2 linked regions of the Arabidopsis thaliana genome follow. The protein of the gene in region 1 interacts with the protein of each later gene in a biochemical or structural test. Each region holds a gene or a part of one and is shown on either strand. Other genes may lie near its edges.

Evidence for each region. Proteins that work in one complex are often made in the same cells at the same time.
Region 2: the proteins of AT1G30580 (region 1) and AT4G25030 form a complex in vitro, tested with the Arabidopsis thaliana proteins (one study listed by BioGRID).

Annotation. Positions count from the first base shown.
Region 1 is NC_003070.9:10,831,124-10,837,624, reverse strand, and holds AT1G30580 (GTP binding protein), read left to right. Parts: upstream 1-1,989; 5' UTR 1,990-2,170; coding exon 2,171-2,257; intron 2,258-2,590; coding exon 2,591-2,758; intron 2,759-2,861; coding exon 2,862-2,985; intron 2,986-3,312; coding exon 3,313-3,404; intron 3,405-3,565; coding exon 3,566-3,664; intron 3,665-3,763; coding exon 3,764-3,877; intron 3,878-4,195; coding exon 4,196-4,260; intron 4,261-4,419; coding exon 4,420-4,536; intron 4,537-4,643; coding exon 4,644-4,719; intron 4,720-4,913; coding exon 4,914-5,006; intron 5,007-5,326; coding exon 5,327-5,377; intron 5,378-5,573; coding exon 5,574-5,672; 3' UTR 5,673-5,952; downstream 5,953-6,501. Other genes in the region: AT1G30590 (RNA polymerase I specific transcription initiation factor RRN3 protein), read left to right, coding at 37-143, 253-336, 430-517, 705-818, 931-1,115, 1,385-1,649; HERK2 (hercules receptor kinase 2), read right to left, coding at 6,143-6,501. UniProt on the Arabidopsis thaliana protein: Hydrolyzes ATP, and can also hydrolyze GTP with lower efficiency. Has lower affinity for GTP. Exhibits GTPase activity.
Region 2 is NC_003075.7:12,862,479-12,867,336, reverse strand, and holds AT4G25030 (Serine/Threonine-kinase), read right to left. Parts: upstream 2,886-4,858; 5' UTR 2,567-2,885; exon of another isoform or gene 2,308-2,566; intron 2,031-2,307; 5' UTR 2,002-2,030; coding exon 1,876-2,001; intron 1,801-1,875; coding exon 1,534-1,800; intron 1,341-1,533; coding exon 699-1,340; 3' UTR 510-698; downstream 1-509.

The sequences.
Region 1 (6,501 bases):
TGTCTTGGCTTAGACTCACTCTACTTTCATCTGCAGTTTCTGATGTTCTATGCATGCTCACTAGATCCTGAAAATTGTGGTGTGAGATTTGCCAGTAAGCTGTTGGACATATATCTCTCCAGCAACACATGTCGACTTACTAGGCGAGTTTAATCTTGTCCTTCTTGGTAAAGATTTCTCTGCATGATATGAAGCTAATATTGTTCTAATCACCACTTGTGTATTCTTTTGTTTTCTCTTTATACTTAACAGGATGAGTGCAGTGGCTTATCTAGCTAGCTATTTGTCTCGTGGAAAGTTTTTGCCTGCTTCTTTTGTGGCTAGCATGTTGAAAAGGTACGTATTGCTAAAAAATGGAAAATGTAATTGTTTGATCTGATTTAAGTCTCGCTTTGTTGTAACATAGTTTCTCTTTTGCTGAAATCCTAGATTGGTGGACGAGTGTGCGGAATATTGCGGAACATGCAATGATGATGTGAAGCCAGAAGCACATCAAGTGTTCTATTCTGGATGTCAGGTATAGTCCAAGTTTAAGACCATCTTATGGCTTTTGATTCCTTAAGAACTCTTCTGTGAAATCATTGACGTCTCTAGTTATCAATCATTGTTAATGTTCACACCCTTACCAGAAGCTTATTGGCGTTTGGGATCATATGCTATTATGTCATGTATCGCTTAAAGTTGTTACTTTTCTATGACTGTAGGCAATCTTGTATGTGCTATGCTTCCGAATGAGATCCATAGTGGAGATTCCTCGCTTTCAATCGCAGTTTAGATCATTGGAGTCAATTTTATCTCACAAACTAAACCCACTACTGGTGGGTGACTTACACTAATCATTTTCTTCTCATAGCTCAACTGTTATTTTAAGTAGTCTTCACTCCAAGTATCAAATGCATTATGCTTGCACCATTCATTTTGTGTGAACAGGTGTGTCTTCCATCTGTAGTTTCCGAGTTCCTTAAACAAGCCAAAGCTGGTGGTCTGTTCATTGTCTCAGAATCCTTCATTTTCGATGACCTACACGAGTCTGAGCTCTCTCGTGCTTTTGGTGGCTTTGAAAGGCTTGACACATTCTTCCCGTTTGACCCGTGCTTGTTGAAAATGTCTAGCAGGTTTGCTATCTTTACTCTTGATTATTTTTTCTCTTCCAAAGTAAGGACAAATCAATGTGAGAATCTTACACAAGGTTCTTGACTCACTGGATGAATTTACCCGACCTGGGCATATTTGATACAAATTCTACTGCATACATCTTAATTACAGTCTTGAAATGACATTGAAAATTATTTTAATATGATAAAACAAGTGATGAATCAAAGTATTTGCATTGGATAGGCTTGAACTCTCTTTCTCACACGTGTTTTCTTGTCAATTCTTGAAGCTACATCTCCCCGAACTTCAACTTCTGGTCAATGGTGAAAACGACTTATGGAGAAGATGGTGACGAAGAGCTTTGTGATGAGGTCATAGTGAATGGAGATGCAGACAGTGCGGAGGAACCTGACGATGACGTTGAACTTGATAGTGAGATGAACACGATGTCTACAACTCCGAAACACTCTTTCATGCGAGAAACAGAGAGGCTCTTGAAGATGCCTTCAAGAATCAGACCATCCACTAGTCCTCCTGAATCCTTCTTAATCTAATAGTCATAGAGAGAGGGAATGCAATTTTGCAATGTAGGTTTCTTATTACAATCTCTTAGCTAGTGCGTAAACTCTAAAAAAAAGAAGTTGACATGAGTTTTGTGCGAGTCTGTGGTATTATCTGATCGCATGTGGTTTTGTAGCAAAATTTTGAAGAACATCTATGAAGTAAAATTTAGTCAGTTGGTTTATGATTACCTAATTTGAGTTTCGGTTTAATTTGGTTAAGTTGAAATGCTGAATGATTGATTTCTCGGTTTAGTGTTCAATATTGGGTTTACTTTGTCCACAAAATTGGTTAAAAATAGCTCTTTGTATTTTGGTAAATGTCCCGCAAATGGTTAAAAGTAAACCGGGAATTGACCCTCCGATTTAAACCGGTCCGTAAACCAGCTGAGCAATCTCTCTTTAACCTCGGCGTCGGCGTCTTGTAGCTTCTTCTGCTAGGCTTTGTTAATCAGCAAAAACCCTAGAATATCTTAGAGCTTCGCTTCACTTTCAAGCTCGAGACTTTGAGAAAGATGCCTCCGAAAGCCAAAGCTAAAGATGCAGGTCCCGTAGAGAGGCCTATTCTTGGCCGTTTCTCTTCTCACCTCAAGATCGGAATTGTAATTTTTCTCTTCATCTCTCTTTTAGAATCCAAGTTGATTAATTTCGAATGGTGAATGGTAGATTTGCTCATCGCAATACTTTCCTCGATAAAAGTTTTTTTTTTTTTTCTTCTTCTGAGTTTTGCCGGGAGAGATCTATTAACTCATCAGTGATGCATGATGATATTGTTTGTTTCGTTGTGTTTGTCACTGTACTCTTTTAGATGTTTAATCCATATTTAAGAAACTGCTTCTTTGATACAGTGATTAAGGTTGATTGTTCATGGTTGATATGATGATATGGAGAAGTATTGATGTTATTCACTATGGGAATTGTTTGTGGCATCGCAGGTTGGGTTACCAAATGTTGGAAAATCTACTCTTTTCAACACTCTTACAAAGCTTTCAATTCCAGCTGAGAATTTCCCCTTTTGTACCATTGAGCCTAATGAGGCACGTGTGAATATCCCCGATGAGAGGTTCGATTGGCTTTGCCAAACTTACAAGCCTAAGAGTGAGGTAAGTTTGTAACTTTATTTCATGACTTGCTGTTAAGGAAGAGATTACTACTATCTGAATTACTTTATGAATGGGCTGACTTCTGTCTGTTTTGATGCCTCAGATTCCAGCTTTCTTGGAAATTCATGACATTGCTGGGCTTGTTAGAGGAGCTCATGAAGGACAGGGTCTTGGAAACAACTTCTTGTCCCATATTCGTGCAGTTGATGGAATTTTCCATGTTTTACGTATGGTTTTTCCCTCTCGCTTTTTCTCCTAGTGCCAGCTTTGTTTTAGTGTGATGCGTGATTTGATGAATAATTTAGACTGTACTGCTACTTGTGCTGTCTTGAATTTCTACTTGAGCAGGCTTTTCAATGAGAGACAGGTTAAAAACCTTTATATATTTTTCTTCCCATTTGATACCTATAGGGCCATTGCGATAGTTAGTTTATGTTTTCCTCTCCAAGCATATCTGTTCTTGAACAACGGGGATGTTTCTTTAATAGTTGCTGATAGTAAGATATCTTGCCAGTTATATAGTGGTTAGTGACTTTTCGATTGAACATATGCAGGTGCTTTTGAAGATGCTGATATTATCCATGTCGACGATATCGTGGATCCTGTTAGAGATTTGGAGACCATTACTGAAGAGTTGCGGCTAAAGGTGAATCAAATCTCTAAACAGATATTTGACTGCTATATCTCCAAACTCGTGAAATCCTTTCTGTGTATATTAATACAGTAGTCTGTTTTTTGTATTAGTTGGATCTTCATTTCATCCATTGTTGTTTTGGTTTCAAACTGAATTCTTTGGTGCAACTTTAGGATATTGAATTTGTTGGAAAGAAGATTGATGATGTCGAGAAGAGCATGAAGAGGAGCAATGACAAGCAGCTGAAAATAGAACTTGAGCTCTTGCAAAAGGTATGCTATAATTTGACAACCATGCAGTCTTGTTCTGCAAATGTTATTGCTCATTAATTATTAATTGGCCGAAAAAATGACTGTACCTCTCTGGTTTAGGTAAAAGCTTGGCTAGAAGATGGTAAGGATGTCCGTTTTGGGGACTGGAAAACAGCTGATATCGAGATTTTGAACACTTTCCAATTGCTTTCTGCAAAGCCCGTTGTTTACTTGGTGAGTAGTCTTGAATGTTCATCTCTTTCTGTTACCATTGTTTCTATCAAGATAAATGCATTTGCTTCTTTCATATCTATAGTCGACAATTTTGTTCCCTCAATTTTTTTCGGGTCAGTTTGCAAAATGTAGGTCATACTGTCTATTTTTGTGACACTATTTGCCCCCAAATTTAACCATAGTGTGTTCCTTAGCTATTTCTGATCTCTATGCTTTCATGTTTGTTTCAACTATGTGTTTCATCTCAGTGTAAGAACTATTAAGGCATCTTGGTTGGACTTTTTGTGATCACTGGTTACTCTGAAATTTAAATTACAGATTAACCTGAATGAGAGAGACTATCAGAGGAAGAAAAACAAGTTCTTGCCAAAGATTCATGCCTGGTACTAATATATATCCTTTCACAAACTATGTTGAATAATAAGTAAAACATTTTGCCCCTTGGTTGTTGCAAAAGTTTCTAATATGGCTACGTGCTTACACATTTACTTACCTTATTATACTTCTCCTAAACTAAAAATATCTGTTTCATCATTATGTAGGGTTCAAGAACACGGTGGTGATACTATGATTCCTTTCAGTGGTGTGTTTGAAAGGAGTCTCGCTGATATGGCCCCAGATGAAGCAGCAAAGTATTGTGAGGAGAACAAACTGCAAAGGTTAGGAATAAAAGAACAGCACCTTGCGAATGAATAGTTGCTCCTGAAGATGATTTTTCTTTATGAATCTGTTAAATTGAATCTTATGGCCATTGCTGCTTTGACAGTGCTCTTCCGAGGATCATCAAAACTGGATTTTCAGCAATTAACCTCATATACTTCTTTACAGCAGGGCCTGATGAGGTATTAACAGTCCCACTTTACTTGGCTTCACTACACGCTTTAGTCTCTAGTTCTCTGTGAAATTCTTCTAAGCATAATTGTTCTGTAATGAGCTATTTGGTAGTGCATGATCAGTGTTATGTGTCAAGTAGTGCATTGTTACTGGAATTTGATGGTTTATAAAATACATCCATCAATGATACTTTGATTTGCAGGTGAAGTGCTGGCAAATAAGACGGCAGTCAAAGGCTCCTCAAGCTGCAGGGGCCATTCATACTGATTTTGAGAGAGGATTTATTTGTGCTGAGGTACCATTTTCTCATTTCTCTTGAATCTTGGTCAATTCACTAGTTTATTCCTACCTAAAATTTACATGCGTAAAGCCTTTCCCCTCCAGATTTTGATGATTTGTTCTGTTATAGAGTTTATATAATCTTTCTTATGTTTTCACTGACAAAAACAAATGCTTGCTTGCATATTCTTATATTCATCTTGGTGTTGATTTCCTAGTATCGATGCAGGCCTGTAGATATCAAAGCAGAATCCTAATGCAAACCATATCTAATCAAATATTTTTCTGTTTTGAAATTCAATGTGATTTATTCCAATGTTGTTGTTGATGTCACAGGTCATGAAATTCGAGGATCTCAAGGAACTTGGCAATGAACCTGCAGTCAAGGTATTTGTCTATAACTTCTTTTCCTTCTACAATCTCTTAAGGTCTCGGTGGAGTAAGTAGCCTCTAAAAACAGACATGAAAATGTTAAGGAAGCTCTCCACTGTGCAAGATATCCTCGTTGAAGAGGCATGATTATATTTATAATGTTCATGGCGATGACACTTGGTCTAATTTATAATCCCTTCAACTAATGCAGGCCGCAGGAAAATACAGACAGGAGGGTAAAACATATGTTGTTCAGGATGGAGATATCATTTTCTTCAAGTTCAATGTTTCCGGTGGTGGGAAGAAATGAGATCCATCCGTCTGTCCACCTATCCGCGGTGTCCTCTCTGGATCTTGAAGCTCTATCCATTTCCGAGAAAGGAACCAAGCTGTATTTTCCGTTTTTGAGTGGCTTTACCAAACAAGTATTTGTAACTCTTTACATTTTGCAGTTAGCTAAGACATGTCTTTGCCTTTAGACAGAGCATTAAGCCTGCTGTATCGTTTAGAACTCTTTCAATAAGTTTTTCTCTACTATTTGGAAAGAACCTTGAGTAATTGTGCGTGAGAATGAGTTGAAGAAACCCAGCAAACAACTTCTGGTGCACTTATTAGCGAAGGAAACAAATGGAAAGAATGATTAAACGAATACCTTAAGGAAATTATATTTGCAGTGTATATTACAAGCTCTATTACAAAAGAGCTTCTGGATAGATCACAATCAATTATAACAAAAGAACAAAAGAATTATTTTGGGACTGGCCAATCCAATTGCTTCCTCTAAGCCGAATTGTGAAGAGCAGATCCTGTTTGGCTCTGCTCAGTTTCTGAGGAATCTTGATTGGAACAAGCTGGAAGAGTAAAGCTCTCTGGTGCTTCTTCTACCGCTTGGCTGCTCGAAAACGAGTTTTCTCCATTCTGTTTGCGAAGCCAAGCTTCATGAATCTGCAAAACATACTCCAAGCTCCATAACACTTCTCCCATCATTGGCCTGTTCTTCCCTTCATCCGCTAAGCACTTCTCTGCTATCTCCCCATACTTCTCCAACGATTCAGGACTGTAGTTTCCCCTCAGATTTGAGTCGATGATGGACTCGAGGTTTCTCTGTTTTTGCCAGCTTAAAGCCCATTCCGCAAGGT
Region 2 (4,858 bases), on another chromosome or scaffold:
AATACATGCAAGCATTGTATGACATCTTTCTATGAGACTAGCAAAATTGTAAGAGTTGACGTAATCCAAATATACAATTTTTTTTGTATTTTTAATAAAATCCATTTGTTTCAAAAAAAAAAAAAAAAAATTTAAGAAGGAGATTTGATGATAATAGAGGTTATGAGAGTAAACTTAAGTTTAATGTTCCATAATCACTTATCTTTAAAAAGAAAAGTTTAAGAAACTCTTGTAAGTGATTTCTCTTCTATCTAGTGGCCTGCCTTTTAAGAAAATCTTTTAGACTAGTTCTGCAAACTTCAGAGTAGGTTTACCAATTTTGGAGTAGGTTTAGCAAGGATGCAAGAGTGGACCCAAACAAGTGATCACGAAATGCAATGTTTAATCACTACACCATCAACCACTCTATAACTGATGTTTTGCAACCACGATATCATAAGCACTATTGAACGACTCATTTAACATTGTTCATATTTGAAAACTTGCCTATGAGATGCATAAACACCAAATTTCCAACTTCTCTTTCCTTTTATTCAATCAAACAAGTCTTTTACATTAAAATACAATTAACAGTTTAAAAAATGGCTTTATTCTTGTTTTTCTCAAACATTAAGAAACTTTTTAAATACAATCAGCCGAAAAAAATACAAGAAAAACAATTATATATATAAATCCTCGAAGAGAATTACAAAATCCTTTTAGCAGACAACAGTAGCTGCTCCGGAAGACACAGGGCTTGCAACATCAAGCATCATGGGATTCCACTTCATCACCACTTTATCACCGCATCTTCCATCTGATGAAACTCCGGCAAATTGCATCTGATCTGCTTCAACAGAAGACGGATTTGGTACCTCCAATGTCAACTTCTTCTCAGCTACAGACTTGAGTCTCCGCCTCTCTGCTCTTGACCCAATCACCTGTCCCAAAACTGATGCTGCTATGGTGAATACCATAGCTGTTTTAGGCATCAACACTGACTTTCTCAGTATTCCTATGAATGGAACCGCTGCGTGAAGAGCTATAAACCAAGATGCCGAAAACTTTTCAGTGTGCTCTCTCCAGACCCCTAAAGGCACATTTAACGCCATGCCCAGCATCCCGATCACTAGTACTTTAGCTGGTAAAGGTTGTGGACGGAGGTTCTTGGCGAAAGGTGTTTTTGATATCGCTGCTCGAGCTGTGACTATTGCTTGAGGGCATTTAAATTTCATGCCTGGAGGGGGTTGCAGGATCTTTGCCACAAGTGGTGCCACACCACTTACAGCTCGATATGATTTTGCTATTGGGCAGTTTCCTGTTTTAAGCCATTCGTCGCCCATGGCTTCGTGGTTTCCTCCCTGAAAGAGAAACAACAATTAAGCGGTGCTCTAAGAGAAAAGAAATATCATGATTTTCTATCTCATAAGCCAACACATTGCATACTACTTAAGCAATCTTAGAAGCTTAACTATTTCCTTAGACACATTTCTTTACCTATGCACATCAGTTTTAAAAGATAAATGTTGAGCAAGAAACTCATAAAACCTTTACCTTATTTTTGGATGAATCTGACTTCTTCTTTTGATTTTTAAACATGTCAGAAAATGCATCAAATCCAAAAGGCCCTCCAGATCCAAAGGATGAGAGACTAATAGTGGCCGCCTTAGCAGCAAGTGGATGGAATACAGGCACAGGCTTCTGGGCTTCAGTTCGAGCGGTGTCAGAGAGAGGGACAACTCCATCTTGGCCATGGAAAAGCCTAAACGCCGTATCAAAATTGGGACCATCTTCAAATATAGGTCCTTTCCCAGCTCTTGCCTATATATATGATGAGACAAGATCAGAATCTATAAGAAATGTCAATATGGAGTGAACCAACAGACGGTTACTTACAGGGATGGGAAAAGGCAAGGATGAAGAGAAAGAGAGGTTAGTGGGCTCATTGATGTTCCTCAAGAACGGGCATCGGAGAATGTTCAACTGAGAAGCCATGGGATTTTCTCCAGTACAATTATCCATTCTTGTTGAGCTGAAAAAAGGACAAGAATCTGAACAAAAACAAACAAAGGAACCATATAAGTAATCGAGACGCAGAGAATGCTCGAAAGTTAAATGAGTTATGCAATTTATATGGACAATAGTAGTTACATGCTAAAGAAACATCATCTAAGCTTTGATATACTAAGATAATACCAAAATCTAATTCCAGATCATAGAACCTCAAAGACATTAACAATCGCATATAATTGAATCAAAAGAAATCATTTTTGAGTCATTCTACTCTAGGATTCACACAGAAACTTGCAAAAATCCTCAATAGTTCACCAAAATTAAGAAGAAGCCCAAATTGAAAGCAATCGTGTGGTCGGCACGGGGGTTCATCAAAAGACTCGGACTTTTGAATTACAAAATTCCAAATCAGTAAATATAAGAGTCTAAGAGCACTAGTGATTCAAAGGGAGCTTGACGAGCATCTAAACGACTAAACCCAAACCAGATCTAGCATAAACGATCAAATGCGAGTTCACAAGCACAAATATGGGCAAAAGGGTACATCAATAGAGAAAAGAGAAACAAAACTTACGGATAAGAGATGAGAGGCGTGTGTGAGGAACGATACAATTCCTTTCGGAGATGAAATGAAATATGCTTAAAGGAGAAAAGGTGGATGAGAGGTTAGGTGGTAGTAACGTGGAGAAGATAGATAGAGAATAGAGAGAGATGGCGTTTGATTATTATTTAAGAACAAACCAAAGATAGATAGCTGGTGATAAAACTCTGTACCTGCTTCTTCTTCGTGCTGACCACGCGCTCTCTCTCACAGCCCCACTTGTTTGACAAATCGCACATTATTATTGCAATATGCATGCCTTCTTTGAATTTTTATTCTCAATTTCCCAACCCCATTTTGTCAACATTTTACTTTTCTTTCTGTGTGTTTTTTCTCCTACAAAAATTAGGCCACCAACTTCTCTCTCTCATTCCGTCGTGTTTCCTCCTCGTTGACCGGCGGACCCAGGAAAGATTTTTACCTGAGTCAATAGTTTTTTCGTTTAATATATAAAAAGAAATTTTTTACGAAAAAGTACATAGGGAAGGATTGAACTTGGATAATGGGGGTGTCAATGACACATGATAAACCAACTTAGCTATTATCTCTTTAACAAATTTCATGCATTAAACTTTATTTGTAGATTTAAGGTGTGTCAACTGACCCACCTTTTCTCTTAATGGGTCCGCTTTGACCCTCATATTCCGGTTTTCATGTTGAAAGATTGGATTATGACTAATTTGGTTATTAATTTGTCAAGGGGATGATGGGAAAGTAGGGGTGGGCATTTTAACCGAACCGACCCAACCCAACCGAACTCAAACCGACCCAAACCAAACCCAATCTAAGACTCAAACTATTCGATTGTATTTTATCTCAATCCAAATGGGTCGGTTCGGTTACTAAAAAGGTTTAACTGTGTTTATCTTCAGTACATGTATTCCTCCGCCGCCAACAACTATATTGCTTAAAAACATCAAACTAATTTAAAAACCTAATAATTATTTTTGTCTACAATTATTAAAAATAAATAAACAAAAACAAAGAAACTATATTAACAAAAAAAAAGACTAAAAATAAGCAAAACATAAGCAAAAAGTTAATTATCTTTTAGATAAGAATTACATATTAAATCTCCACATTAAACGAAAGTTGAAAAAAAAAAAAAAATAAGAAAGAGAAAATGAACAAAAGAATGTATGAGGTAAAGACTAGAGCGACACCTCCTTTGAGAATGAGAAGATGATCAAGAAGTTTAAGAGTGAGACACCTGAAGAGACCCAAAAGAAATGCCTTCTCCGGGTATTTTTGTGCCTTTATTATTTTTACCTTATACTTGTAGTATGAAATGCTATCTTTTGCTAGTTATCTTAGTTGTTTTCCTCCTCCTTTAGCTTGTTTGTCATCTACTCTTGTTCTTGACGAATATTTATTTTTGTATTAGTGTTAAGCTTTGTTTCTAAGATGCCAAAACAGATCTCGCCATACTGCAAACTTGTTAAATCGGACTTTATGAAGTTTCATATATAGATGTACATGGTAGTGGAAAATTCAAGGATTTATATGTGAGACTCAAACCCTATTCCCACCTATCCATAATTGAACAGATGTCCAATAACATCCTAAATTGCAAGACAAACCCTAATCCTAAAAGGAAGAAAATATTCTGAACCTAAATTCCATATACCCACCCGCTAAATTGTTTTGTACGTAATCTGCTTTTTACTACAAAAACCAGTCTTTTGGTCTCTAATTGGTCAACAACACAAAACTTTTTCCCATTGTTTATTTTTATTTCATTTGTCGCCAAGTTTTAATCATCATTTCAAAATATATTGGTTATTTTGAATCGTTTTTCTTTGATTAGTTTTACACGAAAACTGTAGATCGCAAATTTGATTCAAACTAATTTCAACGTAAATTTTATGTATGATTTGTTTTACTGCCTATCTTTAGTTTTTAAAGTTCTTTACTTATATACCAATAATGAGATTTAAGTACACATCAAAAATTAGCATACACAATATACTTTCAAATATGTTATTTTTAATGCATTGTGTAGTAGTGAGTAATGTAATAAGTTTTAAGGAAAATTTAGTGATGAGACTTTAGTTGATAGTTTCTATCAGTTACTATATAAACGACATGTTGCATTGCAGCGGCAGCACCTGTAACCTCTAGTGTATTTTCTCCATTGACTTTAAAGTTCAAACAAGTATATACATATGCATATGAAGTAAAAAGTATTTTCATATCCTTAAAATCTGTTAAGTATATTTTCATACGCGAATAAATTATAGGATTAATTCATATTCAAACTTCAAA